Linked DNA regions of Arabidopsis thaliana. The protein of the gene in region 1 interacts with the protein of each later gene in a pairwise test. Each region holds a gene or a part of one and is shown on either strand. Other genes may lie near its edges.

The links.
Region 2: the proteins of CRK33 (region 1) and RABA2c interact in a protein complementation assay, tested with the Arabidopsis thaliana proteins (one large-scale study listed by BioGRID).
Region 3: the proteins of CRK33 (region 1) and GPX5 interact in a protein complementation assay, tested with the Arabidopsis thaliana proteins (one large-scale study listed by BioGRID).
Region 4: the proteins of CRK33 (region 1) and HOS3-1 interact in a protein complementation assay, tested with the Arabidopsis thaliana proteins (one large-scale study listed by BioGRID).

Annotation. Positions count from the first base shown.
Region 1 is NC_003075.7:6,974,821-6,982,939, forward strand, and holds CRK33 (cysteine-rich RLK (RECEPTOR-like protein kinase) 33), read left to right. Parts: upstream 1-4,027; coding exon 4,028-4,799; intron 4,800-4,955; coding exon 4,956-5,081; intron 5,082-5,365; coding exon 5,366-5,478; intron 5,479-5,547; coding exon 5,548-5,758; intron 5,759-5,848; coding exon 5,849-6,086; intron 6,087-6,185; coding exon 6,186-6,339; intron 6,340-6,431; coding exon 6,432-6,728; downstream 6,729-8,119. Other genes in the region: LCR11 (low-molecular-weight cysteine-rich 11), read right to left, coding at 462-709, 1,065-1,125.
Region 2 is NC_003074.8:17,244,688-17,252,699, forward strand, and holds RABA2c (RAB GTPase homolog A2C), read right to left. Parts: upstream 4,137-8,012; 5' UTR 3,831-4,136; intron 3,709-3,830; 5' UTR 3,676-3,708; coding exon 3,511-3,675; intron 2,501-3,510; coding exon 2,012-2,500; 3' UTR 1,541-2,011; downstream 1-1,540. Other genes in the region: AT3G46840 (Subtilase family protein), read left to right, coding at 6,324-6,422, 6,526-6,620, 6,726-6,817, 6,950-7,202, 7,299-7,806, 7,908-8,002. UniProt on the Arabidopsis thaliana protein: Intracellular vesicle trafficking and protein transport.
Region 3 is NC_003074.8:23,306,252-23,313,174, reverse strand, and holds GPX5 (glutathione peroxidase 5), read right to left. Parts: upstream 3,439-6,923; 5' UTR 3,015-3,438; coding exon 2,955-3,014; intron 2,862-2,954; coding exon 2,785-2,861; intron 2,697-2,784; coding exon 2,635-2,696; intron 2,496-2,634; coding exon 2,377-2,495; intron 2,266-2,376; coding exon 2,098-2,265; intron 2,011-2,097; coding exon 1,975-2,010; 3' UTR 1,778-1,974; downstream 1-1,777. Other genes in the region: RTFL14 (ROTUNDIFOLIA like 14), read right to left, coding at 1-122; AT3G63070 (Tudor/PWWP/MBT domain-containing protein), read right to left, coding at 3,600-3,625, 3,833-4,012, 4,167-4,524, 4,617-5,034, 5,116-5,300, 5,370-5,482, 5,565-5,673, 6,126-6,534. UniProt on the Arabidopsis thaliana protein: May constitute a glutathione peroxidase-like protective system against oxidative stresses.
Region 4 is NC_003075.7:17,345,863-17,352,906, reverse strand, and holds HOS3-1 (GNS1/SUR4 membrane protein family), read right to left. Parts: upstream 3,690-7,044; 5' UTR 3,397-3,689; coding exon 2,622-3,396; coding exon of another isoform or gene 2,527-2,621; exon of another isoform or gene 2,280-2,526; intron 2,126-2,279; coding exon 1,974-2,125; 3' UTR 1,744-1,973; downstream 1-1,743. Other genes in the region: AT4G36840 (Galactose oxidase/kelch repeat superfamily protein), read right to left, coding at 25-741; AT4G36820 (calcium uniporter (DUF607)), read right to left, coding at 4,913-5,371, 5,461-6,018. UniProt on the Arabidopsis thaliana protein: Probable very long-chain fatty acid (VLCFA) elongase that controls VLCFA composition and functions to inhibit abscisic acid (ABA)-mediated stress responses, including regulation of stomatal aperture, maintenance of primary root growth and inhibition of germination.

The DNA.
Region 1 (8,119 bases):
CCCCCTCTATTTTGAGGGCTAGCTCTTTTTAAAAATAAAAAATAATATATTAATATATGTGATGATAATTATGAGATACAATTTATGGTAATTTATTTTTTGATAATTTAGTTTTTTTTTTTACTTTGAAATTTATTTCTCGTATTTGTAATTCTGATATACAAGGTTTAAAGTTTAACAATAGATATTAAACATATTTCAGATAGAAAATTAATTAATAAACTATCAATGATGATCAATAGAAAGTTATTTAATTTATAGTTTAAATCATACATTATATGAAGACACACATACACCATAGCACAATAGTGATTATGCCATGGTCTACTTATTTAATATATTTACAATGATAATTATTTATGTAGTATTGTTAAATACAATTATTATGAATTTTTCTTATATAAAAAAATTGTCGATGAATTGCTATCATTTGATCTTGGTTATCTGATTGTCTCATAAATCTATGTGGTGTGCGGGGTTCCATCCGATCGACACCAATATCTGCAGTTACATACTGGATTTCCTTTCTTGGATTGTCCTGTAGTTGCAATAGGCTTGCAAAAACTAACTCCTTGAGGAGATATCTTTTCACATAAAGAGGTACACAATTTCGAATCACATGTTGATGCACCCTTAGATACATGTGAAGCATTTGTTAGAACTTTAATACAAAGACGTTGTTTTCCCACTGTTCCTTTCACCATCATCCCTAATATAGTAAATATTTGAGACATAAAAATATCAGTTTCTTTTTTTTGAAGATTAATGTTTAAATACTTTTGCATATATTAATTAATAAAGTATTGGACATAATGGAAAAAAGCTATCCAAAAACTATGGATACTATGGTTTTGGAATGACTTTGATCTTTAACACTATTTGACAAGGTTTTGATATAAAAATATTGAATTTGCTATTAAATAATTAAATTTAGCTATTTAAGTGAGATATAGAATTGACATTATTCAGATAGATTGCATGTTCTTAATATCTAATTTTATTTTCATATGATAAAATATATAAATATTTTTTAAGAAAATATGTTTGTAAATCTAACTACAAACCTATTGCAAGGACGATGAAGATAGTTAGAATGGTTGTTGATAGTTGACTAGCTTTCTTCATCTCATATACTCTAAACAAATTGATGATGTTTTTTTTTTTTTTTTTTTTTTTTTTTTTTTTTTTTGTTTTGTCAGATGATGTTTTTGGTTAATTTGTTTAATGAAAAAGTGAACAAAATTTAAAGTATATATAAGAAAAGTTAGATGTGTCTATTTTTTTAATGATACATCTTAGATCTATCACCTCCTGAAATTTAGGTTAAAAAAACGTGGTTCTCCATTAATTCCATTTTTTTGTTAAAGGATTGATTCCAATTTTTTTCCTTATCTAATTAAGGAGTCTTAGAAGTTAGAACCACACAATAATTTCAGTTAACACCATTAAATTACAAAAAAAAACTTTTTGATGGGTGATTTAAGTAAGAGGAGAAATTAAAAAAAAGATATATGTTCGCCTTAAAATTTGTTGAAACAATGTGAAATTCAAAAATAATAATAAAAAATCAAATGTATTTCGGAGACTGCATAACTCGTCTTTGGATAATACATTAATACCATACATTTTTTCTTTTATTCTAGTCTCTTTTCTATATATATATATATATATTTATTTATTTATTTATTTTTAAAAACCTATTTAGATAAAACATAGAAGATTTTAAAGAATAGAATGTATTTACGACAAAAAAAGAAAAGAATAGAATGTATTTACAGCAAATGAAAGTAACATACATAATTACATACAAAAAGCTAGTAAGAACCTTCACACCAAAAAAAAACTGGTACGAACCAAACTGATTTACCAATCAACAGAGCCGATCCTAGGTTGTGGGGCTTAAAACATTTTTAGTATGTGGTCTTTCCAAAATATACTAACAATAAACGTTTAATATTAATAATCTATAAAACATGAAAGGGAAAAAATACTATAAGCATTATCTGAACGTGAAACAAAACAAACACTATAGAAACGTGAAAAGAAAAAAATTGCTAAGAAAAAGGGTAATTTGCAGCAAAAAAAAAGAAGGAACGAAGTAAGTAGAAGTTGTGGTCGTTTGATCCCACGATCAAGGATGGGTCGGGCCTGCCAATCAACAATAGAAAAATATATTGTGAAAACATTAGCAATGAATTGTCACTAGTCCAAACAGATTACAACTTTTCAAAGTTCTTTACACCCTCATAATTTCTTGTTTTATGCATCCAACTCTATGGTTTAGCATATGTGGTCCAGTTGTAGGAGGGAGCTTTGGTAAAGGGTTTTGTTGTAATCTTAAAACTTGGGGCCTATTTATAGAAGAAAAAAAATAATTGAGGGCCTATTTTGTAAAGAAAAATTTTCTAAAACTTTGGGAATCACATTCAATTGTTTCTCCTTGCTCCGTTGAGTTACCGCACTAATGCTCACTACTAGCAAACACACTCTTTCAGTGCGACAGCCTCATGAGCTTGAAGTTGTTTAGCAAATCGGTTCCTACCAATGTACTAAACCGGTTATATAATCTGATTATGTATAACCAAACCGGTTATTGTATAAATGTCCAACCGGGGTTCACGATTCTACCGTTGTTCCGCCTAATTCTGATTTGTTAAACGACGAGAAATTTCTTATGGAAGTTAGGGTTTCCTGGCCGTTGATTGGTTCGTTCCCTGTTACCTTGTTCCATTCCAATCAGTTCTCGTAGAGCTTCTAATGTCACGGCTCGTGATGGCTTCTTCAATTCTTCGAGTGGGAGGATGCGTAATCCATGTGCCAATAGCAGAGTCGTGCTCAGATTGTACCAGGGGCGGATCTAGGTGTATGGGATGTGGGGCACGTGCCCTACATTAAATTATAAGTATTAGCTTGTAAACTTATGCAGTTTAAATGATTCAGCACAACTGGTTAAGTGTTTTCAATATTCGTCCATCCTTACCCAGGTTCGAGACTAGTTGAAGTAACTTTTTTCTTTTTTTGACTTTGCTCATTTTTTCCCCCAATTTTATCAATTTAATCACTTATTTCTTCCTTTGATTTATGAACATCCACTTTTAACTTTCTTTTAAAATTTCTTTATTAATTGATTAGATAGTATATGTGTATTGATATATTTCTAAAATGTTTGATATATCTATTCATTTACTTTTATGTGAAAATGAATAACAAAGTTATATGAACACAATTTCATAGTTTTTTTTTGGGTACCTATATAAATTGTGAGAAACAAATTACAGAATTTATTGAACTACATATTTTATCACAAACTTATAGTTTAATAACGAATAGTATATATAATAATTTTGATAAAAAATAATATATAATAAGTAAATTAATAGTGCCCCAGATTAAATATTTTTCTAGATCCGCCACTGGATTGTACCATGGAAGCGTCTGATGGAGTTGTCTTAATTAGACATATGCCAATGGAAATGTAATGCTGTCCGACAATCGTCTTGATGCTTCAAGTAGCCTGTATTTTTTTTTCCGTGGGGGTTCGAAACTTGGATTCAGTCAGGTCATTCTTTAATCTTTACTTTAAACCCATTGTCAACAATGCCTCTAGTAAAACAATGGTTTTGTATTACTGTTTGTGCTGAGAAAGTAATAAGATAAGCTATTGAAATTGTCAAAATATTACTAATTTGGGTCTTTGGATTGCTCAATTTGTTGGTTATTTAACTCATATCACTCTGCTTCGTTGTGTTACGTTGAGGAGATTCATTCAACAAGCATAGTGGGCGTGTAGTCTGGGTGCATCTCACATCATTAACATTTTTGAAACTTCAACATTCTTTTAATAAACATATAACACATCAGCTCATTGCTTTGATTGGTTCTCTGATTTTGTCTATGCTCTGACTTAGCTTTTATAATGCCTTGGATATTTTAAGTTTGACAACTTGCTGAGAGAACTCAATTGCTATTTAACTGATATGAAGTGTACGGATATGTACATACTAACCCCAAACACATTTGTAAAATCATGAGAAAGACCAAGAAGATTTCCTTTTTGATCTTCTGGGTTGTTCTCATAAGCATAATTGGTGCTATTTCTTCGCAACAATGCAACGAAACTGGGTATTTTGAACCTTGGAAAACTTACGACACCAACCGTAGGCAGATCCTTACATCTCTTGCTTCCAAAGTGGTGGATCACTACGGCTTCTACAATTCTTCCATCGGCAAAGTTCCTGACGAAGTGCACGTAATGGGGATGTGCATCGACGGGACCGAACCTACGGTTTGCTCCGATTGTCTCAAGGTCGCGGCCGACCAATTACAAGAGAATTGTCCTAACCAAACTGAAGCGTATACATGGACACCTCATAAGACGCTCTGTTTTGCTCGTTACTCTAACAGTTCATTCTTCAAGAGGGTTGGATTGCACCCACTTTACATGGAGCATAGTAATGTGGATATCAAATCAAATTTGACATATTTAAATACGATATGGGAGGCTCTAACGGATCGTTTGATGTCTGACGCATCCTCGGATTATAATGCATCATTATCTAGTCGTAGATATTATGCAGCTAATGTAACAAATCTGACAAATTTCCAGAATATATATGCATTAATGCTATGCACTCCTGATCTAGAAAAAGGTGCTTGTCACAACTGTCTGGAAAAAGCTGTTTCTGAATATGGCAACCTTAGGATGCAAAGAGGAATTGTTGCATGGCCAAGCTGCTGTTTTCGGTGGGATCTGTATCCCTTCATCGGAGCTTTTAATTTGACACTTTCACCCCCGCCAGGTAATTCCTCAACTAAAAGAAAAAATATGATTCTAAGAACGTATCATTCTGCTAAGTTGCTGACCAATAGTTTGAGAAAGGTTTGAAACAGATTCAATCACTGGATGATGCATTTTCTCTATTGTAAACTATCCTCTGTGATTCTACTATGCCCAGGTAGCAAAAGGAATATCTCAGTTGGATTCTTTGTGGCCATTGTTGTTGCCACCGGAGTTGTCATCTCTGTGCTATCTACTTTAGTAGTAGTACTTGTTTGCAGAAAGAGAAAAACTGATCCTCCAGGTGAGTTGATTCGTATTTTACTCACTGATTTCTTTTTCTTTAAGAACAATAAGGCATGCATGCTTAATCAGGAACACTGCATGATGCCGGGACAAGGGAATTTTAACTAGGAATAGTTTATTCAGTTCAATGGTCAACTATCTAAAACTTCTTATTAGCTAACCAATGTTTATTAGAAAAATGAAAAACTTTGGTGAATATGAAAACATATCATCATGGTTTAGATTTGTTATGTGTACGTACTTCCATGTTGCAAGGAATAATATGACATTTCTGTGTAGCAGAGGAATCACCTAAATATTCACTGCAGTATGATCTTAAGACAATTGAAGCTGCAACATGTACCTTTTCAAAGTGCAACATGCTTGGTCAAGGTGGATTTGGAGAAGTTTTCAAGGTAAATCTTCTCAACTTCCATTAATGAATATAGGTGGTGTGATGATCTTATTCTCTTTATTATTTGTAGGGTGTGCTTCAAGACGGATCAGAAATTGCAGTGAAGAGGCTGTCAAAAGAATCAGCTCAAGGTGTACAAGAGTTCCAGAATGAGACTAGTCTCGTGGCAAAGCTTCAGCACAGAAATTTGGTTGGAGTTCTCGGGTTTTGTATGGAAGGAGAAGAAAAGATACTCGTATACGAATTTGTTCCCAACAAAAGCCTCGACCAGTTCTTGTTTGGTATTTTGCATATAACACTCAGCTCATAGTTTTTGAAGTTCTAATGATGAAGTTGCAGTTCTTGAAACTTATTTTAATTGACTTACACAGAACCTACAAAGAAAGGCCAACTGGATTGGGCGAAACGGTACAAGATTATTGTTGGAACTGCTAGAGGAATTCTATATCTTCATCATGACTCACCCCTCAAAATCATACACCGTGACCTCAAAGCTAGTAACATCCTCTTAGATGCTGAAATGGAACCCAAAGTCGCAGATTTTGGAATGGCAAGAATTTTTAGGGTGGATCAATCTCGAGCGGATACAAGAAGGGTAGTTGGAACCCAGTAAGTACCCTTTCTTCTTTTTTGCCTTTCAATCTCTGAAGTTTTGATGACCTTTTTGTCACTGGTAAACTCAAGAATTATTTTTTGTTTTCTTTCTAGTGGCTACATATCTCCAGAGTATTTGATGCATGGCCAGTTCTCGGTGAAATCTGATGTCTATAGTTTTGGAGTCTTGGTTCTTGAGATTATAAGTGGAAAAAGAAACAGCAACTTCCATGAAACTGATGAATCCGGAAAGAATTTGGTCACATATGTGAGCATTAAAAACTAAACTTTGGAAAGACTCTACTTTTTTAACCATGCAATGTAACGTAAGGTTTTGACTACTAGTGATCATTGTGGTAGGCTTGGAGGCATTGGAGAAACGGATCACCATTAGAGCTTGTGGATTCAGAACTCGAAAAGAATTATCAGAGTAATGAAGTCTTCAGATGCATCCATATCGCGCTATTATGTGTTCAAAATGATCCAGAACAACGTCCGAATTTATCTACTATCATCATGATGCTCACAAGTAACTCCATCACTTTACCGGTGCCTCAGTCACCGGTATATGAGGGAATGGACATGTTTCTACCTTCTATCAAATCTCTTCCTGGTTCTGTCAACGATTCATTGATTGATGACTTAGTTCCTCGCTGAAGATGACAGTTACTTCATATCCGAGGTGTTTCTATAATTTCTCTTAGCACTTTTTACTTTTGTTGTGTTGAGTCATACAGTGTTACTAAAATACATTGAAACTCTCTCTTACAGGGTTTCCTCTGTTCAAGCGAAGTTCGAAGATAAGCTGACTCAAGCAGGTTTTATATAACTCAAAGATTGGTGTTTTTGAAAGTTCTAACCGGAAATCAAATTGGTTTGTATGATTTTAACCGATTTCTGTTTACGGTTTTATAATGATGTCTCCTTGGCTATCTTTTGTTGGGGTTTGAATTTGTTTCTTTTGTATTGGTTGGAGGATTGAAAACTAATGTACATGTAAATTTTGGCTAGTCAAGTTTGGCTGCTGACTCCATTTGTCTCCAAATTTGGTCTGCTGACTTCTATAAGGTCTCTCAATTGGCTAACTTAATGCACGTTTTCCTTTTCTTTTTTTTTTTTTGTTTGGATCTCTGCAAATCTAATGTAAAATGGAGCGACATAACATGGGAGTTTTCTGACCAATTCACACTCTACTTGCTTCTTTTTTTGGCAGCACACTCTACTTGTTTAGTTATTATATTGAGTATTATGAATCCATATTATTGGTGGGGAATGGACATTGTGGTTTTGATTATTACTTCTAACTCTTTTTTTTGTCAAAATCAACGGTCCTATCTGTCATGGAAAATCTTCGGAGGATAAACCTTCTAACTTTGAACATTTAACACAGTCTTTGGTTCTGATCTTGAGAGAAGAAACTCAAGAGTTCATTTGTTCTAATCTTTTGTTCTTTCCTTGTAAGGTTAGATGTTGTTTCTGCACAAGTCTGCTTCAATAGCTACTTTAAACCCAATGCTACTTACGACTTAAACCGTCGCCTAATCTTTTCTTCTCTTGCTACTAATGTCACAACTCACAAGGGATTCTATAACTCCTCGATTGGTCAAGACCCCAATAGAGGCTTCATCAATAGTATGTGCATCCCTGGGACTAAACAAGAGACTTGTTCAGATTGTATCAAAGGCGCATCAGACGGCTTATTAAGGAGATATCTTAACCAAACAGAAGCTTAGACATGGCCAGATTGTTGTATGGTACGTTATTCCAACATTTCTTTCTCTGGATTTTGTTTGGAAGGACAAGAAAAAATAAACGTTTACGAGTTAATTTGTACCTAACAAAAGCCTTGACTATTTCCTCTTTGGTATGTTATGAGCTTAGATACTTTTAAGTTCCAAGATGTCCTTATTGTTGCTAATGAGTCATATACTTGCAAATGTACAGACCCTGCAAAACAAGGTGAACTAGATTGGACAAGACGGTACAATATCATTGGGGGGATTGCTCGAGGAATTCTATATCTTCATCAAGATTTACGGCTTACAATC
Region 2 (8,012 bases), on another chromosome or scaffold:
AATTTGATAGTATTAACTGAATTTATTTTTCTAAAGAATGTAATCGATTTTTATTAAATTTTGGAAGAAATTTAAAATAAAAATGACTAAAAAAGTAAGATTGTTATAAGAAATTTTTTGCTTAATAATTAATTTGATGTTAGAAAAAAACTATAATTAGTTTAATCTTCAAGTTGGTAACAAGTGTAAAAATTTAGAAACATAACATATTAGAAAATATTTTCATTTAATATTACAAAAATTAGAATATATATCCATATAATTGACTACATTTAGAGTTTTTTTTTGGACAAATTAATTTTTTCATTTTTTTTTTAAAAGTTGAAGACAAAGCACAATTTTTTTTTTGTTAAAGGGTTTGAAGACAAAGCACATTGGTTTGGCCGAGAACTATATATAAACATATGTGTAGAGCTCCAGTCTTCAAACATTTTATTTTCTACAAACATTTTTTAAAATTTCTAAATTTGTTAAGAGTTTAGTAAAATAGTGATTTGGCTTGATATGGATCAAAATAAAATGTTAGAGAAAGTTCTTACAAACACCGATCTTTCCCACATGGGTAGGTTATATTAACCAAAATTGCAGATAGAGAAGATACTACGCACTATAGAAAATTTTGTAATGCCTCCAAGTGGTCTTCAAGTGGAAGTTTTAGAGAATAACAAGAGTTACTGGGTAACAATAAAAATAGACCATGATAAATATTTTATGTGCTCAGGGTGGAATAATATAGAAGCAAGAAGGCTCAAAACAGGCGATAAAATTATATTGTATTTACAAGATAACAAATTCATTTTTACTATGCATTGATTCTTTATTGTTTATTTCTTAAAAATGTTATCTCTCATTATTCTATTTTAATATACCTATTCTAATATTTTGTCTTAATGATAATATTTTGGATGGGTTTATGTATTTTATAACTACAAAAATAGCTTATCAATTTAAATGAGATCTAAATTCTAAATTATGGGTATGTGAGTATATGTGAGTATAAAGTTTGGACTATGCATTGATCAAAAGCTTTTAATCGAAGGATATGGAAGTTATCGATTAGAAAGATGAGGTTTTACTATCTTCCTTATTGTTTCTCTGAATGGTTTCTCGGCGCATAAATATATATAATGGATCACCAAGAATTTTCATGTTATTTTGCTCATTAGAAATCACCAAGAATTTTCATGTATAGCATTTCCGAACTTAGAATTTTCTAATATGAAACAATTTAGAACTAAAAGGCCTTTTGGGTTGTGTCCAAAAAGAAAAACCTCACACGTTGACAATGTAAAATTCCATGATTTATTATAAACTCTTTCATGCATGCAATTGGTTAGTTTTTGCAAGTTGGGCTACAATGACGTTTTTGTTATCGGTTTCTCAATCACTCCTTTTCTGTCTCCATGTATCGTCGTCACTTTCCTCTATTTTACTTGAAAATAATACCATTAATTCAAAACATCTTTTAATTTGGTCGGTTCAAAACAAAATAAAAAACCATAGCCATTATTTGATAGTAACTGCAGTTCAATTGCATTTTTATTTGTGATAATAGATGGAGCAAAATTAGTTTGTCAACAATTTTTTCTTTCGTAATACTAAAATTTATTTTCTTTGGTAGAAGCTTGTCAGTGTGTAACATGAAGAGAGGATTTTGGAACCGGATACAATACATTGATAAGAGAGGAATCAATGATTTGATTAAACAAAGCCAAGACGAACCGGACTAAACCGGAGATAGAAAAAATACTTTATAAACCAGAAATCAATAGAAACACACCAAGGGAAGAAGAAGGGAAAGCAAGCAAGCACCAGAAGATTCTAAGTATACTACTAACAAGCTTTAAACTGAACACAAACCCCAAACCGAAGAGAATAAAAACAGAGTATTCTACATAGTCTTGCATAGTTACGTTTCATCAGCCAAAACTTGAAAAGAAGAGAAGCCAGTGAAAACAAAAGTTTGAATCTCTGAACAAGGAGCAACCGAAATAAACAGTTTACCTTTAGTTTAAGAAGAGCAACATGCTCGTTTCGCGCCTCCAGATGTGTCATCGACGTTAATCGTAGTTCCTTGCCCAGGGATTGCAGAATTAGCTGCTGCTGCTTCTTGTGCAGCCAGTGCCTTTTTGCTTATGATATGGTAGATCTCACCTAAGATGGTCTGAAACGCTTTCTCGACGTTTGTTGCTTCAAGAGCAGATGTCTCCAGGAAAGAGAGACCTTCCTTCTCAGCCAAACTTTGACCATCTTCCTCAGCAACGGATCTCAAGTGGTTCAGATCGGATTTGTTCCCAGCCATCATGATCACAATGTTGGAATCTGCATGGTCTCTCAGTTCGCGCAGCCACCTTAAAACATTGTCAAAGGTCTGTCTCTTAGTAATGTCGTAGACAAGAAGTGCACCCACTGCGCCTCTGTAATACGCGCTTGTGATCGCCCTGTACCTCTCCTGACCTGCAGTGTCCCAGATCTGGGCCTTAATGGTCTTTCCTTCAACCTGTGTATGCATGAGAGATTCACCGTAACAACCAGTTAGATCTTAGGTATTGAAGCATTCCCAGGTTTATGAATAAGAATGCTAATTCAACAATCAAAAGTAAAGAACATATATCTTCTCAGTTGTTAAAACCAGGTTAGTAACATTATTAACAATCAACATTTTAAATGCATCTTTCCGCATTCAACTACATAAGTGTATCATAGAATTCCTCTTGTCAAAAAATTTATCGGTTGACTTTACGAAAGTATAAAGGTGGACAAGGTCAAGCATGACAAATGATCAGGAAATAGAATGAATTATTGAGACAAGCTGTGAGAATCTTCTTATTTTTTTTAATTGGCCTTCACGACCATCCATTTATAGTCTTAAAATGAGAAAAGCATCTGTCATAACTCATAGCCAGCACAACTAAGATTTTTTCTCTTGAACAAAAGATTCAGTAGCTGAGAAAAAATCCGCCGTCTACTCTCTCAAAACACTGTATTCTTCAATCTTAAGAAACCAACGCAACCAAAAACCTTAAGACCTATCACTTAATTGCTATCCAAATCAAAGAAACTAACGAAGAAGCAACTTTAAACGAAACAAAACAGACTAAAAGCTCTAGAGCCATCACTTGAAATTAACCATCGAATACCTGAATTCTACACTACACTAATGAGGTCATGAAGCTACAAGCAAAACCAAATTACATAATTGAAATATACACTACACTAATGTGGTCATGAAGCTACAAGCAAAACCAAAATACATAACTGAAGACGGTAAATCTATGTATAGCAGTGAAAGTAAAAACCTTCACGGATTATAGCTAAAGATAAATCAAAACAGAGACAAGCTAATAAGAAGAAAAAACCTATCCCAAAATCCCATCTTTAAGCCTCTTAACATTATATACCAAACCTAAATTACTATCTCTTCGTATTACTCTGATTCTAACAGCAAATATTCTGAATTTCACTCCTAAAGTACTTAAAGAGAGAAACAGAGAAAAATTCGAATCTCACCTGAGTAGTTCTGGTGGCGAATTCAACACCAATAGTGGATTTAGATTCCAAGCAAAACTCATTCCTGGTGAATCTCGACAAGATATTCGATTTCCCAACACCAGAATCACCAATCAACACAATCTTAAACAAATAATCATATTCCTGATCTACTCTATGCGTCATTTTCTCCTTCTCTCTTCGATCTCGCAATAAAACCTACAAATTCGAAAGAAAAAAAAGACAGAAACTTTATTACTTTTCTCCAAAATCAAACCCAGATCCAACGAAATTAAGACGAACCCACAAGTAATTCAGAAGACGAAAAACGATTCGTGTACCTTAATGGCGGATGAATCGAGAAAAATATCGAATTTTTTGAGATCTATAAAGAAAGAAACTTTGAGTAAGAAGCTTTAAATGTTTGTTCTCACTCACAATCAATGGAGGAAAATGGAATTTTTCTTGTTTAATTTGATGGGCTTCGTCTTCTTCTTCGTGAGAAAGAGGAGAGGAGCAATAAAGTGAATATACGGTGTATCTATACGTATCTCTGTGTCAGGGAATAGAAACGACGTCGCGTTTGAGAAAAAGACAAAGACTTCAGTTATCGTGCTGATGTGGCAACTAATGATTCGTTAGCAGGCTGGCAAAAAGTAAGAGCATGTTCCAAGGGGTATTATTGGAAATGTAGTTTTGAGCTTTATAATTGCGTTAAAGAGCAATGATTGTATTTGTGAGTGTGGTAATGATAATAAGCAACGTCAATTTGAAAATGTCGAATTAACAACTTTAATAGAAGAAGAAAATAATGAAATGAGGATGTGATGAATTGACCACTACATTCCCAACTTCCCATAATATTTGTAAGAATATAGTTCTGATCCATATAATATAATTAAACAATGTGGTGGTTCTGGTGGCGATGGCCGATGGGCAAATGAAGATGGTAGTGGATCATGTGGCGGCTTTAGAAGGCAACATGCTACAAGTCTAGTGGAAAATACGTCGGAGATTGCGATGGTAATAGGCTAATAGCTATAGAGGACGAGACTAGTCTTTTGGTGCGACACATATAGAATGTTACATTCTAATCTGATGAAGATGAGGACCATTAAGTCATTAACGCTAAATTATTAATCCCTGAAACGTCATACTTTTTTTCAACCTAACGTAATAACTTCATTTTGTTATAAATTTGATTTTGTGCCCTCTAATAAACCAAGTTTTTTTTTTGTTTTTTTTTATCGCAAAAACATCAAATAATTAAATTTGTTCGAAAAAGTTAGTTTCGTGGGCCAACTACTCCGAAACGAGAGGGTTTATATGGGAAAAAAGTACACCTCGTACTCTTGCACTCTTTGCGAGGCAGACAACACGGACATTCATAGTGCGTGGAATATGAGATAAAGAAAACCGACCAAAACTAGCTTTAAATCTAGCAAAATCTTTTCCACCGGCCAATCTTTACTTTCATCAAGGATCTTAAGTAAGCTTAAGCAATCGGTTTCAAAATGTATAGATTGGATACTTTGTTGTAAAGTGCACTCCATTGTCCAAAGAAGAGCTCCGAGTTCTGCGTAGAGGGCATTGCGATAACAATTCTGGCTACTTTGACCAAACAGCTTGGTCGTTGAGCTAGTCAACATGAACCCCAAACTAACATTCTGGTTAATACCAGTCCACGAAGCGTCAATTTGGCACATAGCTTCTCCTCTTTGAACGTGCGCATACTCACAAGCTTCAACTACTTCAGGTTCTTCCTCCGCATCAATGTCATGTTCTAGTTCTTGGGCAACTCTCCAACTTTTCGACTCAGAAATTACATGCGCTAGAATATATGGTGTTATGTACTCCCGTAACGTATTTTCAAAAAGTATATATTTGACCTATTTAAACATTTATTACTTTAGGTTATGAATAATCCTGACGCAATTCTTGCTGATTAGTCTTGACGCAATTGTACGTTGCTATTGATTTTAAACGAATACAGCACAAAAGAAGGCAATCGCGTGGACGAAAGAGGAGCCGATACATACAATTGCATACATCTATTTGTATACTATATTTGCTTTCTATTGGATAATTCACCCTAACTATTAAGAGTACATTTAGTCACAATATCTAAATTAAATCTATAAATGTGAATATGCACATAGAGTTTTCACAAGTGGTCATATTTTAAGGATAATATTTGATACAGTTCTTAATTTCTTTGGTACATTTTTTGTTACCTCTCTAGAAAGGTTAATTAATTAGATACATCGCCTGCAAAAGTACTTTTAAGAAAAAATATTCGCGTGGAGAATATTTCGTTCGTTCATGTAAGGTCAAATGATGAACCTCTTACCCATGATTAGGCTGCCATAATTAATAAACCGAATTCAGAATATACATTCCTTACTTCCCATCATTCTGAATTGCCCAAATTATACTCATTTCTAGTCATAATAAAAAAAAAATTAACTTCTAGTGGTTAGTCAATCTTTTCTTTTGTCAAGAGAATAAATATCAAGTCAAAGAAAATTCTTTCTATTTAATATTTTTCTCTATATTCATGAACAAACAATACAAGTAAAAGAAAAATAAAAGATGATGCAAGGATTAGTAGAACAAGAAACGGTAGCAAATTAAACGGTGCATTCAAAAACCTATTAATATGGAAAGTACATTATACTGTCATTAATATATAAGAATAATTTGAGAAACAAATCTTAAAGGAGTTTGATGAGGACTTTGATTACGTTCTATGTACATACAGTATCTCTCCCTATAATAATCCTTTCATTCTCACAATCTTGTAAAATTTGATTATAACCAAATCAATCAAAAAAATGACAAAACCTGCTGTCTCCTATTGTCTCCTCTCATGTATCTTTGCCTTGCTTGTTGTGAGTTTCGCTTCAGCAGACAAAGATGATCAAGACAAACAGGTAATTGCACAAATCCTTCTTCGTTATTTGATTATTATAATCATATCATGGTTCTAATTATATTACTAATGACTAACCATAACTATGATGATGATACTTGTAGGAGTATATAGTATACATGGGTGCACTTCCTGCTCGTGTTGACTACATGCCTATGTCCCATCACACTAGTATTCTTCAAGATGTCACCGGAGAGAGGTGCACTGAATTTATTCAATTTTATTGTTTAGTGTTAATGTGATTATTTGTATATGGTTTCATGTCTATCGATCAAAGTCTAACAAATGTATTTCTTATTTGTAGTTCGATCGAGGATCGTTTGGTTAGGAATTATAAAAGGAGTTTCAACGGATTCGCAGCCCGGCTAACCAAATCCGAAAGAGAGATACTAGCAAGTAAGTGAACATAAATGGATTACGACCCGAAAGTTTTCAAAAATAATAATCAAAACTCAAATTAGTTTTCTTCTCTATGAAAAAACTTTATTAACTCAATGTGTTGCTATTTCTTAATATCTAATTTCTTAGGTATGGACGAAGTTGTGTCTGTGTTTCCTAACAAGAAACTGAAGCTCCAAACAACAACGTCATGGAATTTCATGGGCCTCAAGGAAAGCAAACGTACAAAGCGAAATACTATCATAGAGAGTGATACAATCATCGGTGTCATCGACAGTGGAATCTATCCGGAATCTGATAGTTTTAGTGGCAAAGGCTTTGGTCCTCCTCCTAAAAAATGGAAAGGTGTTTGCAAAGGCGGCAAAAACTTCACTTGGAACAAGTATAAAACTCTTAAATTTGATCATACAATTAAATTGTGTAAGGATTTTTCAATTGCTTAGTTATAATGAATGTGGATGATTTGTTTGTTTTATAGCAAGCTTATTGGAGCACGGTACTACACCCCCAAACTAGAGGGGTTTCCTGAGTCAGCGAGGGACTACATGGGACATGGATCGCACACAGCATCCACGGCTGCTGGAAATGCTGTGAAGCATGTGAGCTTTTACGGCCTCGGCAATGGAACCGCAAGAGGTGGCGTTCCAGCTGCAAGAATAGCGGTTTATAAAGTATGTGACCCTGGCGTCGATGGGTGCACAACTGACGGAATTCTAGCGGCATTTGATGATGCCATAGCGGATAAGGTGGACATCATTACCATATCCATTGGTGGTGATAATAGTTCGCCTTTTGAGGAGGACCCTATCGCGATCGGGGCTTTCCATGCCATGGCCAAGGGAATCCTCATAGTGAATTCCGCAGGAAACAGTGGTCCAGAACCTAGCACGGTCGCGAGTATTGCGCCGTGGATGTTCACTGTTGCTGCTAGTAATACTAACCGTGCGTTTGTCACTAAAGTTGTTCTCGGAAACGGCAAGACAGTTGTGGTAAAGTACCAAGGGACAAATCTTTGTTCCTCTCTTACGACAACATATTATCATACATATCTTGTCCTCTTTTAACATTACTGCTTGTTGCTAAACAGGGAAGATCGGTAAATTCGTTCGATCTTAACGGAAAGAAGTACCCTCTAGTATACGGGAAATCAGCTTCAAGTAGTTGTGGTGCTGCTTCCGCCGGGTAACTTCCA
Region 3 (6,923 bases), on another chromosome or scaffold:
ACAGCACATTTCCAGATGATGTAAAGACGAGCCCTTTGCTCCTTTATCTGCTTCGAACATCTTTTCCATGTCCTAACCTTGGTTACACTAGTGCAGCATCTCAATACTACTGTCCCTGCCATTGAGATCCTATATATCGAGAAATTTTCAAAGTAAACTATTCGTGTGTGTGTGTTTGGCTGCTAGAGAGATAGATTGCTTATATACTAGTATACATGCTGACTCGAACTCGATTCAAATAATTTGGCACATAGTGTAGAGATAATTTGGTAGATATAATCTAAAATGCAAATATAGGATAAAATTAAGATACATTATTGAACTGAATAATATGGAGGACCTACATGTTTCTAAGTGTGAAGAAAAGGCATGATGCTTTCACCATTAGCTTCGCTTTTGAACTAAAACCTTATGTTTAGTTTCTATCATTGATTAAATGTTCGAAACAATTTGGTATCATTTTTTTTTTCCTTTTTTCGAAAAAGCTTATCATGTTTTCAAATTTGATTTTGCGGTGAGGATATTGTTTGAACAGAAAACTTCTGTTCATGCACACATGAGTCTTAATGATGGAGCCTGTGGTTTGTGGGTCTTTATGTCTTGCTGTGTGTTAGGTGCGAATGGAATGATTAAATATCTCTAATTTGGTAGTTAGGAAATGTAATTAAATAAATCACGATCAACTTCTTAATTATGGATTTGCTTACGAGTTTAGCATGAATGTTACGTTCATCCCACCACATCACTCATTTCATGCCATTGACTATAAGCTTTGGAATTGATCCAAATTGGTATCAGTTAAACTATTAATTAAGAGGGTTTCCGTTTCTAATTTCATTGTGTTGTTAAAGAAGAAAATTGTATGCTTTCATTGTATAATTTCCCTAAATTTCTCACTATGCCTCAACTAAAGCACCGAAATGGCTACACCAAAGCCCTTGAATGTATTAAGCACCATAGCAAAAACGATGCAAATAAAAGGCAGTGCAATGGTAGTTGAGCCAGAACCTAAAGGACGGGGCTCTACACAAATCTCCAAACTAAGTAGCTTTGTTCGGGTCACGTAGACTCATGGAGGAAAGCTCGGGGCTTGCTCACTTTCGGGAGTAGTTGGTATTGGTCCCTATCTTCGGTTTTGAAAACTCTTGACGGGATACCCAGTGCTAATCGAAGAAGAAGAAAAAATGTAAATATAATACACAGAGAAAAAATAAAATGGAAAAGACAGTACACTAGTTGTAATGTCTAATTAGTGATTATGGGATAGGTGGGTCGTTTGTTCACAAAATAAAGCCATAAAAATGGTTAATGTTAATAATATCAGTAGTTTGACTAATCTCTAACAAAAGCAAAAGAAACTGATAAGACAAGAAAGAAGAAGGATGGATGCATGAAAGAGTGGTCAAGGTCTCCTTTTAAGTACTCCTTTTTTCTCCTTTGTACTCTCTATTTCTTCAATTGTCTGCCACGTTTCACAAACAGCGCACGTGAGAGTGATACGCCACTTATAATCGATACATTACAGATGGAAAGAAGTTCTCATTGAACACATGAGACAGATTTAAACATTAATTATCGTCGAAACTGAGTAATTTGCACCATAAAAAGTAAATGGTGAGAGTGATAGATAGACTAAAATGTCTTTTGGTATCCTAAGACGTTGTTATAGGCGTTCTCTTGAGTGAAAATCATTGATGTTTTATTTTGATCTTGCTGATTTCGTCTAATCTTTAGCTTAGCTGGTGGTTTGTATTTGTTGGAATTAGTTTTTTTTTTTCTTTTTTTTATGGGTTCAAATCAACTTATTGGAATCACCTTTGATCAAATTTCACAAAAGAAATGGCTAGTAGAGTTACACATAAGATGAATACAAGGCCCATATGGAAGGTGCAATGGGAAATGTAGAAACTTGACTGCATGACCGAGAGTATGAGAGAAGTTTCTTCCAAAGGAGTCAAATATCTCTGTGCGTGTTCACAATTCTTGTGCAAGGGCTTTCTCGATGTCTTTCTGTTATGCAGAAAACAAACATGAAGTAAGCCATAAAAGAGTGATATGATTTTATAATAGAATATGAAGAACAAGAGAGTTAGAGACCTGGATGGATAGAGGTGAAACAGTTGTGCCATAACGATCAATGACTTGACCATCTTTGCCGACCAAGAACTTGGTGAAGTTCCATTTGATACGACTTCCAAGAAAAGAGGGTTTCTTAGATTTGAGGAATTTGTAGACTGGTGCAGCGTTTTGTCCATTTACACGCACCTACACACACACATAGATGATCATGATCATTCATGCTTAGTTATAAACTTACAAAATCAGCTACCTATTAAAGGCATATGAAGAAGAAAAGTGTCTTGTTTGTTGAGGTACCTTTTGGAAAACAGGGTATTCAGCCTTAAAGCGAGTACAAGCAAATTGATGAGCCTCTTCGCTGGTGCCAGGCTCTTGGGACAGAAACTGGTTGCAAGGAAACGCCAATACCACAAAACCTGATGATGATCCAAAGGAAACCAAAACAAAAAATCTTACATAAACGATGAAGTAACAAGGGAAAGCAAAAGAAGAAGAGTCTTCTTTATTAGAAAGGAATATATACATTCCTATTCTAATATTCTTGTATGGTCTGACCTTGATCTTTATATTTCCGGTAAAGTTCCGTCAGCTGGGTGTAATTGGACTCCGTGAATCCGCTGTTCCCCAAATTGTTTGTTAACAAAAAATTTAGAATCAAGAAATAATAATTAACTAGAGAGAAGATGATCGGAGGATCTGACGGACCATTTAGAAGCGACGTTGACGACGAGCAGCACTTTCCCTTGATACACGCTTAGGTCAACCTCCTTGCCGGAGCTATCCTAATTTCCGATAGATCAGACAAACAAGTCAGAAACGCATTCATTCATCAGATAAACAAACAATGAAGAAAAGGGATTCATAAATTAGAAAACCTTGACGGTGAATTGATGGATTGATTTCTCCGACACAGATGATGATGATGAAGCACCCATCTCTCGATCGATCTCTATCGCACAGAAGAAACTAATTAAAATTATTTGAAGTCAACAGGTCTCCGCTTCTTCATTGTTCATTTTATCTCGCAGCAGCATTACAGCTGTTATGTTAATTCCTTGGTAACAAACAAACCCATCCCTAATTGTTTTTTCCATTTGCTATTTAACTAATTAATCGCCTCTTTGACCATTTTTTAGAGACATCTCATCTCTCCAGGTGACAGAAATGCATATTAGTGTGTATTACCACCACTCCCCAAAAATAAACCAAAAAATTTTGTTTACAAAATATCAAATGCCTAAATCAGTGACAGTATTGCCTAACTCAAATCTCTCTCTCTCTACTACAACAAATGGCTTTTCACGACTGTTTCTTTAGCCTTCTCCACGACGTTTTTGGTCATATGTACACACACCAACTGTGCCTTTTTTCTTTTGTATATTAACATCTCTCTCAAGTGGCCCAGGTCTTTCCAACCTACACTTGTTTCTCCCTATTTCTTCTTTTCCATGACTATAGCCCAAATGTCTTTCATTTAGAGCAGACTGCACCTTTGCCCTTCTTCATCTCTTGTCTCCCACTCACCTTTGATGCCACGTCCCTGGATCTGCATATCCACAAACATACTCCAAGTTCATTTTTATATTCAAGATATACCCACAGGACAAGCAAAACAATCTCGAATCTCAGAGACCTAATGATATAAAATCCCCAGTCAAAAGAAAATGTCAGAGTTTCTAAACCTAGGAAACAATTCCAGTATAAGAAAAGGCTCTGATTCATGACGTGGAACAAGTATGAATTTCCATATTACCTCTCATTCCTACTGGAACAGGACCTTCCGAATGCTGCTTATAGTGATAAGAGTGTCTATTGTTATATGCACGCGGAGAATCACTCCACCTATTGTTCTGCAACCTTCCTGAGTCACGGTGATGCCCACTGTATGAGCTCGATTGATGAGGTCCTTTGTGTCTGTCATGATATCGTGGACCTGCAATATAAAAAAAAGAAAAGCATTCACGCCTATTAGCATCCATGAGCAAGTGCTTGTGTGCGCAGATATGCATTCATATATGCATTCATATATGCCTATTAGCATGCATGAGAATTATAAGGAAAAAAAAAAAAAAGGTATCGGAGTCCACCATGAGAAGAGGGCGGATGATATCTCCAATTGTCTCGATTCTCGCATGGTTCAGGCCTCATTCTCTCATAGCTGTCTTGATAATTCCTTTCGTCAAATTCCAGTGTGTAATGAGATCTGTGAGGGTATGATAGACCTTCTCTCCGCGACTTTATATGGTGGTCCGGCTCCATATATGAATAATGATGTGATGGCGGAGGAGGTGGGGGATGAGAAGATGGATATGGCCTATGCTGGAAGTTAGAACCCTCCCCACGTGGCATGCTTTTTGACAAAGATACTCGGGAACTATAAGATGGTTCAGGACTTCCGTAATGCATTGGGGGATTCATCCTTGGAGGACCGGCATGATAGTCGCCCTTGAATATTAACCACAAATTAAGTTATTAACTATGTCTGAATCCTCACTTTGTTAACTGCAAAAGATTCTAAAAGAAGAAAAAGGACGCACCTGCATGCTGGGATTTCTGCGGTAGTCAAAGCCATTTGAGTAGGAATTAGACATTGCCAACTGAGCATTCTGCGAAGGGCGAGCTGGTGGAGATGACGAGGTAACATTCTGATGTGAAGTTCCAGGGACAAGCAGACAATTTGCAGACTCTCTATTATCAGCTTGATCTGTGATCGCACTAGCACTGCTTCCACCTTCCCAAGGTGGAGCCACGTCTTCCATTTCAAGCTCACCATCAACATCTTCCAGTATACGGGTATGCCTTTCGGTAATGGACGGTGTGACATGTTCTTCAAGGCTTCTTGACTCGTGTTCAGGGGTGACAGACTCAAAATCACCCCCATCCGAGTCACTTCCTTCGTCTTCATCCCTAAGTATTGGAGGTATGCAGAATCCATGAAGCTGGAGAGTTGAATTACTGAAACAAAAAGGTGAAAAAAGTTATGACCCTAGAGATAAAGAAATCAAGATCCCAAAACTGATTAGACTCAACTCTCACCTTCCATATTCATCCACCAGTATACCCTCCATATCTCTAACAGGGTCATCCAGCGCCCTTTCTGTTCGAGCGGATCGCCGAGAATAGAGGCAAGCAGGAACATTACTAAGCGAATCAAGTTCTCTTATATGGTGACGAACTATAGATTCAGGAAGGATCCGTCTTTCAAGCCAAAGCCTCAAAACCTATATAAGAGCAGAAAGGGTGAGAGTTAGTATTCATAAGAAAAAGAATATCTAACTAAAATCGCATACCTTCAAGCACTGTTTTCGGTTTTCTTGTGTGGTAGCTCCAGCTGGGACAGCAGCAGTTAATAGGCGAGGTAGCATAGCCTGAATGGATGAAAGATAAACACCACCAGCATCACCTGAATAGAAAGGTAGTATTCACAAAGTTAACTCGCCATTGAGAACATCAATGATGCAACTAAGCAAAAACAGCATACTCACCATTCAAACCTTTGGAGCACTGAGCAATAGAATCCACAAGGAAAAATAAATCCACCCTCCTTTGTAAATTTGACTCACTTTCCAAAGTGTGGGCCAGAATTTCCATCGCCTAATTTTAGACATAGAGATTCTTAGAGCATCATTAACAACATTAGACAAAAGTCTGCAAAATAGTGTTTTATAAATTACACAAAAGCACCGTGCAAAAAGTCCCTTTCCACATTAAAACGGTAAGATAAGATAATAAGGATTGCCCTAGTCCTTTGCTTGAAAAGAGTGGCTGGATGCCTACAGCATCCTAAAATCAGTAGACAAAACAATATATATAAGGTGTTTCTCTAATTCGTAGTAATACATAAAGTTGGTATTGACAATTTGACATGTTCTCGCAATTAACTATTTGATAAATGCAAATAGGTATATAGCATGGGACAGATCCAGGTACAATGTTTTAACAATCTATAAGAAGAAATTTGTCTCCGATTGGATTCCACCTCTAATTAACATGTGGCATCCACAAACAGATAAGACAAGATCACAAGCAGAGAGAACGTTTCATACCTTTGCTGAAACGCCAAATTTCGCCAAGTCCATAGCCAAGCGAGTTGCTCGGCCAATGGTCTCCTTTGTCCTCACCAATGAGTCAAGTGCAGTCTCAAAAGACTCAACAGTGCATTGCACATCAGAACTAACAACTTTCTTCACCTGAGTTGTGCCTGTTTCAACTTTGCTTTCTTCTTTGACAGTGTCAACATTTAATGATTTGTTCTCACCATACTGAACATTGGTGCTGTAATAACTGTTGTTCTGCATAGCATTTTCACTTTCTGCGGTAGAAATTCGGCATACTGAGTTGCAATTTGGAGTACCCCTTGCAGGAGATGAATTCAATTTTTCACGTGAAAAGTTCTCAGATACTGAGATAGAATTGGTGGCTTGCATCTGCTCCTTCTGCTCATCAACCTCACAACTGCCAATGCACACAGACATACCATACTGTTAGTCAACCAGTTCCGTGAATTGGAAAAACTTGACCAAGATAAAGTCTGAAGAAACTTAATCTAATTGATGTTTTGCTTAAACTCAATATGCATATCCTCTACATAGACTTTCAAAGCAAGAGAAAATTTAAATAGGAACTGGGAATCTTCAACTGTAAAAGGAAAATGCAAATTACAAAGAAAGAAAGAAATAACAAAGAAATGGAATTTTATGTCAAAAAGTGAATAGATAGATTCCTAGTCATGTTCTACATCAATCTGCCTATGAGGACTCCATGCATAAAATATTCCAATGTGGTTAGAAATTGAACACATGATTGTAATTAGAAAAGTTTTTCTAATAAGGAAAATCAAAAAA
Region 4 (7,044 bases), about 10 Mb from region 1:
CAAATAAATATTGGAATGAATATATCACAAATGGACAGAAGCAGAAAATAAGACATCAACGCTATATGAGTTTGAGAGAGGATCAAGTTTGAAGACAACATTGGACCACTCAATCTTCCCCCAAATCTCACCTCCCTCGCGCCTCTCCATGGAAATCTCGGCAGACCAAAGCTCCACACACTCAGGGTCTCCAATATGTGCGTTCCCGAAGATGACAATGTTCCCAGCAGAGTTACTAGAGATTTTTCTAATATCATATTTGACGTTGGTCTTTGACGGTCGTTTATCAGAGGTACGTCTGAAGATGTATCTTGTACCAGAGAGATACAATTGTAGCTGTTCCAAACCTTTTACCTCTTTCCAGTCCAACTCATCTGGTTGGCACCATAGTATTCTACCGCGAGTAGCACGACAGTATAGTAATTTCCCAATGACACACCAATCGTGTCTACTTCCTACCTTAGAATCTTTTTTTCCGCTTTTCCAGATTCTACCTTCACTTGGCAAGAAGCTAAAGCTTTGGTCCTCCTCATCCACGGCGTAAACCTTCTTCTCCTCTATCACCACACTTTGGTTGATACTATGGGCCATCTTCGGCGTATTAAATATACCCCAAGTTTGGTAAACTGGATCGAATACCTCCGCCCAGTTTGAGGAATCAGCGTCCTCTGGGCACCCTCCAAAAACGTAGATCTTCCCGTCTATGAGGCTTGCCGATGCGGAAGCACGAGCCATCTTCATAGACGGGACGCGGTGCCATGTCTGAGAAAAACAGTTGAGGAACAAGACATCGGAAGTGGGATTGCCGTTTATGATTCCACCGATTACATAACATAGATCCCCCAATTCACTACCACAAAAGAAGATGATTCCGGAGCCTGATAGGGGTGCGATGGGACCGGCCTCAGTCGACGACTACCCGTAAGGACGAACCAGCGAGGGGTTGGATCAGGTAAGATGCGCAAGCAGACGAAGAAAGATGGCTCAGTGCAACCAATCAGCGATCGCGTGCTGCAGAGCTCAGGGGATGTTACGAGAGAGCGGTATTTCTTGGAGCGAGAGATAAGGCTGTTTGGTCCAATCTCGAGACGCGAGCCATGCAACTCACAGCCACAGAATCCGGTAATCCAGACCACGACGGAGACGCCTCATTCATCGTCTTCTTCCTTTTACTTTGCGGTGGCACTTCGGGGGCGTAATTGTACATCGTCGAATGCTCTCGCATTCTCAATTCACAACAACACAAATTTAGAGATCTCTAGATCCATAATCATCTGATTGATTGATCGACCTTTCTTGCCATAAATTCTTGATTGGAATCGAGATTTTGTGAAGATAGGCCGATTCGGACAGAAACTATATATATTTTATGGTTTTTACTTTTCTCAAATTAACAAATATTAAAGGAAAAGGAAAGAAACAAGTACTTGCGCTTCACTTTGTCGGTTACTTGTTGTACTTGTGTTTCACTTTGATCTGGAGAGATTTGAAATTCTCTCTCCTCGTCGCCTTTCAACAAGTTCCGCGGTTGGTTGCAAGAGCCTGGACTCTTTGTTTCTGGTTTGTGAGATTGCAGAACCATCGATCGAGAGCTTAAGAGGATTTTATTTTTACAGTGGAGAATCAGATTTCAGATGTGGGCCTTATTATGTAAGCTTTTTTACTATGGGATATGTCATATGTGTGCCTAGTTAAGTAGAAAACCGTGGCCTTAGGCCCATCTTGTTCTACAGTTATAAATGCCTTAACTTTGATTAAGTGTAGTAATATTATACTAGGCCCAAATATTAAATATAGTCGACATAGTTCATTTCCTTATACAATGGTCTAAGGCGAACACTCGACCATATTCGTTTGACCTGTACATTTCCTTATACGGCATTCAAACGGTAAATAGAAAATCAAAAGTGTGTCCCCAAGTAGAGAGATACAATTGCAGCTCTTACAATCTAACACATCAGTCTCAAACCATATTATGTTTTCTCGCTTTTAATAATTTTTCCTCTTATCCAAAATGCATTTTCACTTGGTAAAGAGTATAAGCTTTTGATCATCCTCGTCCATGATCCACCATGTAAACCTTTGTTTCCTCTATCACCACATTTTGGTGGGTATTGTGGTATATCTACGTCATAAAGTTACCCCAAGTTTGAGTCTTTGGATCAAAAACCTCTTATGAAATAAATAAATATTTTTAAAGATATATTTATAAATAATCGACATAATTTCTTTCCACTTAAAAAACACAAAACTAGATTTAAAAGAATGAAAAACAAGAACTAGATTGCGTTAACTAAGAGCCAATAGTTCAAATGTAAAATATCTCATGCAAAGTCAGAGATCGATGGTTTATAAAAAAAAAATTGTCCCGGTTTGAGAAGATGTACAGACCTAGACGCAGAACATTTTAGTTATTAGAAAACAAATTAGATTATACTTCAGTTTTAAAAGTGAAAGACAAAAAAGAAGATTAGATTTGTTTTATTGAGTAAAAAGTAAAAACTAGTAAAAAGGATCAATTAATTCTTAAGCGTTACGTTGGCTATTCATTTTATTAATATGGCGTCGCATTGGCGAATGCATTCTCACATAAAAGTTAAGAAAAAGCAACAAAATCGCACCGTTGAGAACCGAGTTTAAACCCCACGCGCCAATCCCATTGCATCCACCTTTAAAGAGGTGCATCGTAAGAACCCCAGCGTGAGACACGAGATTACAGCCCACGAGAACCAACTGACAATTCACCACAAACGAAGGGAAAGCCGAACCGGGTAAACCAAACCCGGTCCAGAATCTATAACCGTAAACCACCGAGTAAACCAGAGTCGTCGATAGAATCGCTAGAATCTGGTACGACTGCGAGAATTCTAGCCAGAGGAAAGACGTGAAGGCCATGACGGAGTTACAAAAGAGCTGAGACACGGCGAGCCTCCGGCTACGTAAAACGGCGAAAATCGTACGGAACATGTGGAGAAAGCGCGTGAGGTAAAACACGTATGACCAAAAGAAGACACGACCAGAGGGACGAGTCCCGAGAGGGAAACAGAGAAGCCATTGGAGAGGAGTGGCGGTTTTGCTCCGCCGCCATAACCACCGTGTGTCACGGATCTCTGCGGCAGCGGAGAGGAGGATTCCGGCGAAAATGGTGGCGGAGAGGATCGACATGAGAAGGCTGTGGATTTCGGGGATGTGACCTAAAGGAACGGAACGGTTACTTCGGCGTACGGCGGAGAGGAGGATGTGGAGGGAGGATGAGACGGCGATATAGAGGGAGATTGATGTGAAGAGGAAAGACCACGTGGAGCCCCATGATTGGCTGTTACTCCAACGGAATCCGACGATGTATGGATGTTCGGAGAGGAAGTAGGTAATAGAGTTAATCAGAGCCGTTGACATAGTTTGAATTTGATCGTACGGTGGTGGTGATCACAGTGACTCTTCTTCTTCCTCTGTTCCTCTAGTCCTGTCTTTTATATGTGTGCGTGCGACTTTTTCGCAAAGTGAATCTCTGTTTCTGCTCTTATTTTTTTTGTTGGGATATTTAATTTCCATTTTCCAATAATTGTTGTAGAACATACAGTAGGTCACTAAATGGCCGGTCTTGTCATGAAAGCAAAATGATGTGGACCAATATTAATTGTCACATTTACGTGACAAATTTAATTTGGCTACATAAATGAATATTGTAAAACGGTTATGAAAATTTTTAAGATTTATGGTCTTAATGGGGTTTTACTGTTATTGTCGAAAATCGAAATAGCAAACCATATTTGAAATATCTTCAAAAAGATCAGAAAACTTGGTACGCGTCAAGTTGACCATTACCATAATCGAAAAGCAGGTGGGAAAACCAAAGAACCTCTAGACACGAAAGAGAGTTTGGTGTTGAGAAATTCAGACAAGCGTCAATTTACAGATGCCTTCATGGTTAAGTTTTAAGTTTTACTCAAGGAGCTACAGATGAGAAAGAGTGCATTACGTAAAACAAAATGCAAATATTGGAATATGGATCGGGCGATCGTTACGAAGATGAATCTACATCAGTAATCAGTAACGAGTTAGTATTAAATTACTATTTCACACAATTTGATGACCAGCTAAGACAGAAGATATTTGATACGTATCAAATAAAATTAGTAGAAATCAAATTGTCCTAATCGTTATATTGGCAATAAGCGTTATAGTACCACGTGAGTAAACAAAAATATTAGATACGTACCAAACAAATGCGGCAGGAACAGTGTAATATATCTCTTTTTCACTATGAGGAATTTGGTTTTGTCCACTTGATAGTATTTTCCACAAGTGACTCTTTTCTTTAGTCTCATTTTCCAGAAGTGATTCTTGACCTACCAAACTAAGTATTTTATTTACACGGTCGTAGTTGATTTCTCGTGAATTAATTAAAAGGAGACTTGGACGGTGAACTTACAACGACTACTCCCACGCATAACATGTTCTATCAATCATTTATGTAAGCCCGCCGAAACAATCATTAAGCATATGTTATACTTGTTTAATTTATAAACTAAAAATCATTTAAGTTAAAACTAAAACTAATTTCGGAATTGGCTTCAACTAAGATTTAGGCCTCAAATGACAAGGTTTTGTTGAGTTTTTGGTATAGATAACATGTTTAAAGTAATGATATCTCATATGCATATGCATGGAAGTATTGTAACATTTAACATTCAGAAAGTCAGACTTGAAATTTATAAATCTACATCACAATCGATTCTTTTATCTACTCTTCCAAATTACATAAGCCGCACTAATAGAACTTTTTTTTTTTTTTTTTGTCTTTTTCCTATTTTCCTAGAAAGATTATGAAATATTCAAAAATTATAGTTTGACACAATTTTGGGGGTCAATATATCTTTCTCAGGTTAGTAGGACAACGAGACACCAATGATCAATTCTGTAGAGATCCAAGAATCTTGGGAACAGCACCTGAAGGCTTGGGATTAAACAGCTTTTTCAGCTCATCATACCTCCCAACATCAAAATCCTCAGATTGCATCAGTTTCCTTTGTTTAGCCTCAAACCTGCTTTGGTAAAAACCTTGAAAGGAAGGCTCTCTCGATGTCTTGAGGAAAAATGTGTAACCCGCCATGAAATATACCGATGAGACATAGAAACAGATCGGTTCCATAACATCCCATGTCAGGTCCCAAAACGTTAGCCTCATAAACCCTGCGGTTTGGATGATCAAGTAACCCAAACCAGCCCAAAGCTCTCTTCTCACCAAAGAATGTGCTTTTTGGTCAATGACCGTCTTTATAGCTTCAAGCTCATTTAGCTCCTTTCTTCTTGGGTCATTCGGGTTATGGATTTGTGATAAAGGAAGAAGCCCCTCTATGGATTTGGTTAACTGATCAACACACAAGACCTTATCAGAGAATTGCATAGACAAAAAAGAATTCAAATGGTAAAAAAAAGCAAAGAGGAGGAAGAAGTTACCTGATGAGGTCTTAAACAAACAGAGTTTCCCATAACGATAACGTTTCCTGAATCATCAAGCATCTTAGCGATCAAAGCTCCTTGAGAAGGATCCAAAGAAGAATCACTACAAACACCTAAGAAATCTGAGTAACGAATCCAGATTTTTCCTGTCTCCATCAGCTTCGTTTTAATAACTTCGATCTCTGCTGCTCTTAGCAACTTCTTCACGTCTTGCACAGTAAGCCCTAACGTCTCCTCCTTCGGATGAGAAAGTCCGTCTAATCGAATCCGATCCTTGTTCATATCCATTTCTTTAAGCTTCTCCATCAGACTCTCCCCAATAGACATCTTCGAAGTCGTATCAATCCCATTCATGGAGAATTTATTCAAAAACCTCTGAGAAATCGTCAAATCTCCAGGCTCTGGATCAATCGTGGCTTCTCCTATATCTTTAGGAACCCTAGTTCGCATGGCTAACGAAGAAGAAGACGAAGTACGACAGTTCATGAGACTTTGCGACGCCGTTTTTGACATATTGAACAAACGGTTCGACAAAAGCTTCTTCATCATCACCATGACGAACAGAACAAAAAAAAAATACGAAAAATCGAAATCCCAGAAAGGAAGAGAAGAAAATGAATTCGATTTCAGTTACTACTTGAAAAAATGAAACAGCAAGAGCGAGCTTTATATAGGTAACCAAAGTTCTCTGTTACAGTTTTAATTTTACGTTTAACATAAATCTTGTGGGGCCTTATACACGTCAGCAGATATATCACGAGAAATTCAATAAACGCTGCCTTTTCGTGAATATTGATAGGTGACTACCGTCCACGTGGATAGATTTATGTTGGTGATAGCTTTCGATGCCTCAATAACCGTCCGATTAAATTTTAAAAAGATATAATATCTTGATAACTTATTTGACTATGAGTAAATTACACAACAGAATTAAAAAGAAAGGCAAAAACGTGTCGCCACATTTTCTGTTTTATCTTGTTATTATCTCTTGCATCTAGTAGTAAATGGTAATGTTGAAGAGATGATTTTTTGAGATGTAATAATGTCTATATAAGGAAAACTTAGTAAATATTTGAAACAATGACGTGTTGCCACATTTTTCGTTTTTATCCTTTGCACACCTAATAAAGAGATAACAAATGTGATGTAATGTGGATGTAACTACTGTGTCTGGTTAGGTAATTCAGTAAATTTAAACACACGGACGTGTCGCCACATTTTCTGTTTTATCTACAAATTTGTTTTTCAAAATAGCATCACCGGATAAACATGTTGAAAAAATAAATAATAAAATTAATGATAAACACGTAGAATTAAAATATAATTTTCTCTATAATTTATAAACACGTAGAATTAAAATGATAAACCTGATATTTACGTTTAAATCCAAATACATGTTATCTTGGTTGTACTGCTGATTCAAATTTGATGGTGATGGAGATAATAAAAATTTAGTGTGTGTTTAAATCAAGATCATGTAAACCCTGTTTAAATATGCCTTGCTATGTCAACAAACTTATTTTATACTACATAGTTCCGACTCAACGATTATCTCGGTCTAATTAAGACATGAGACATCAC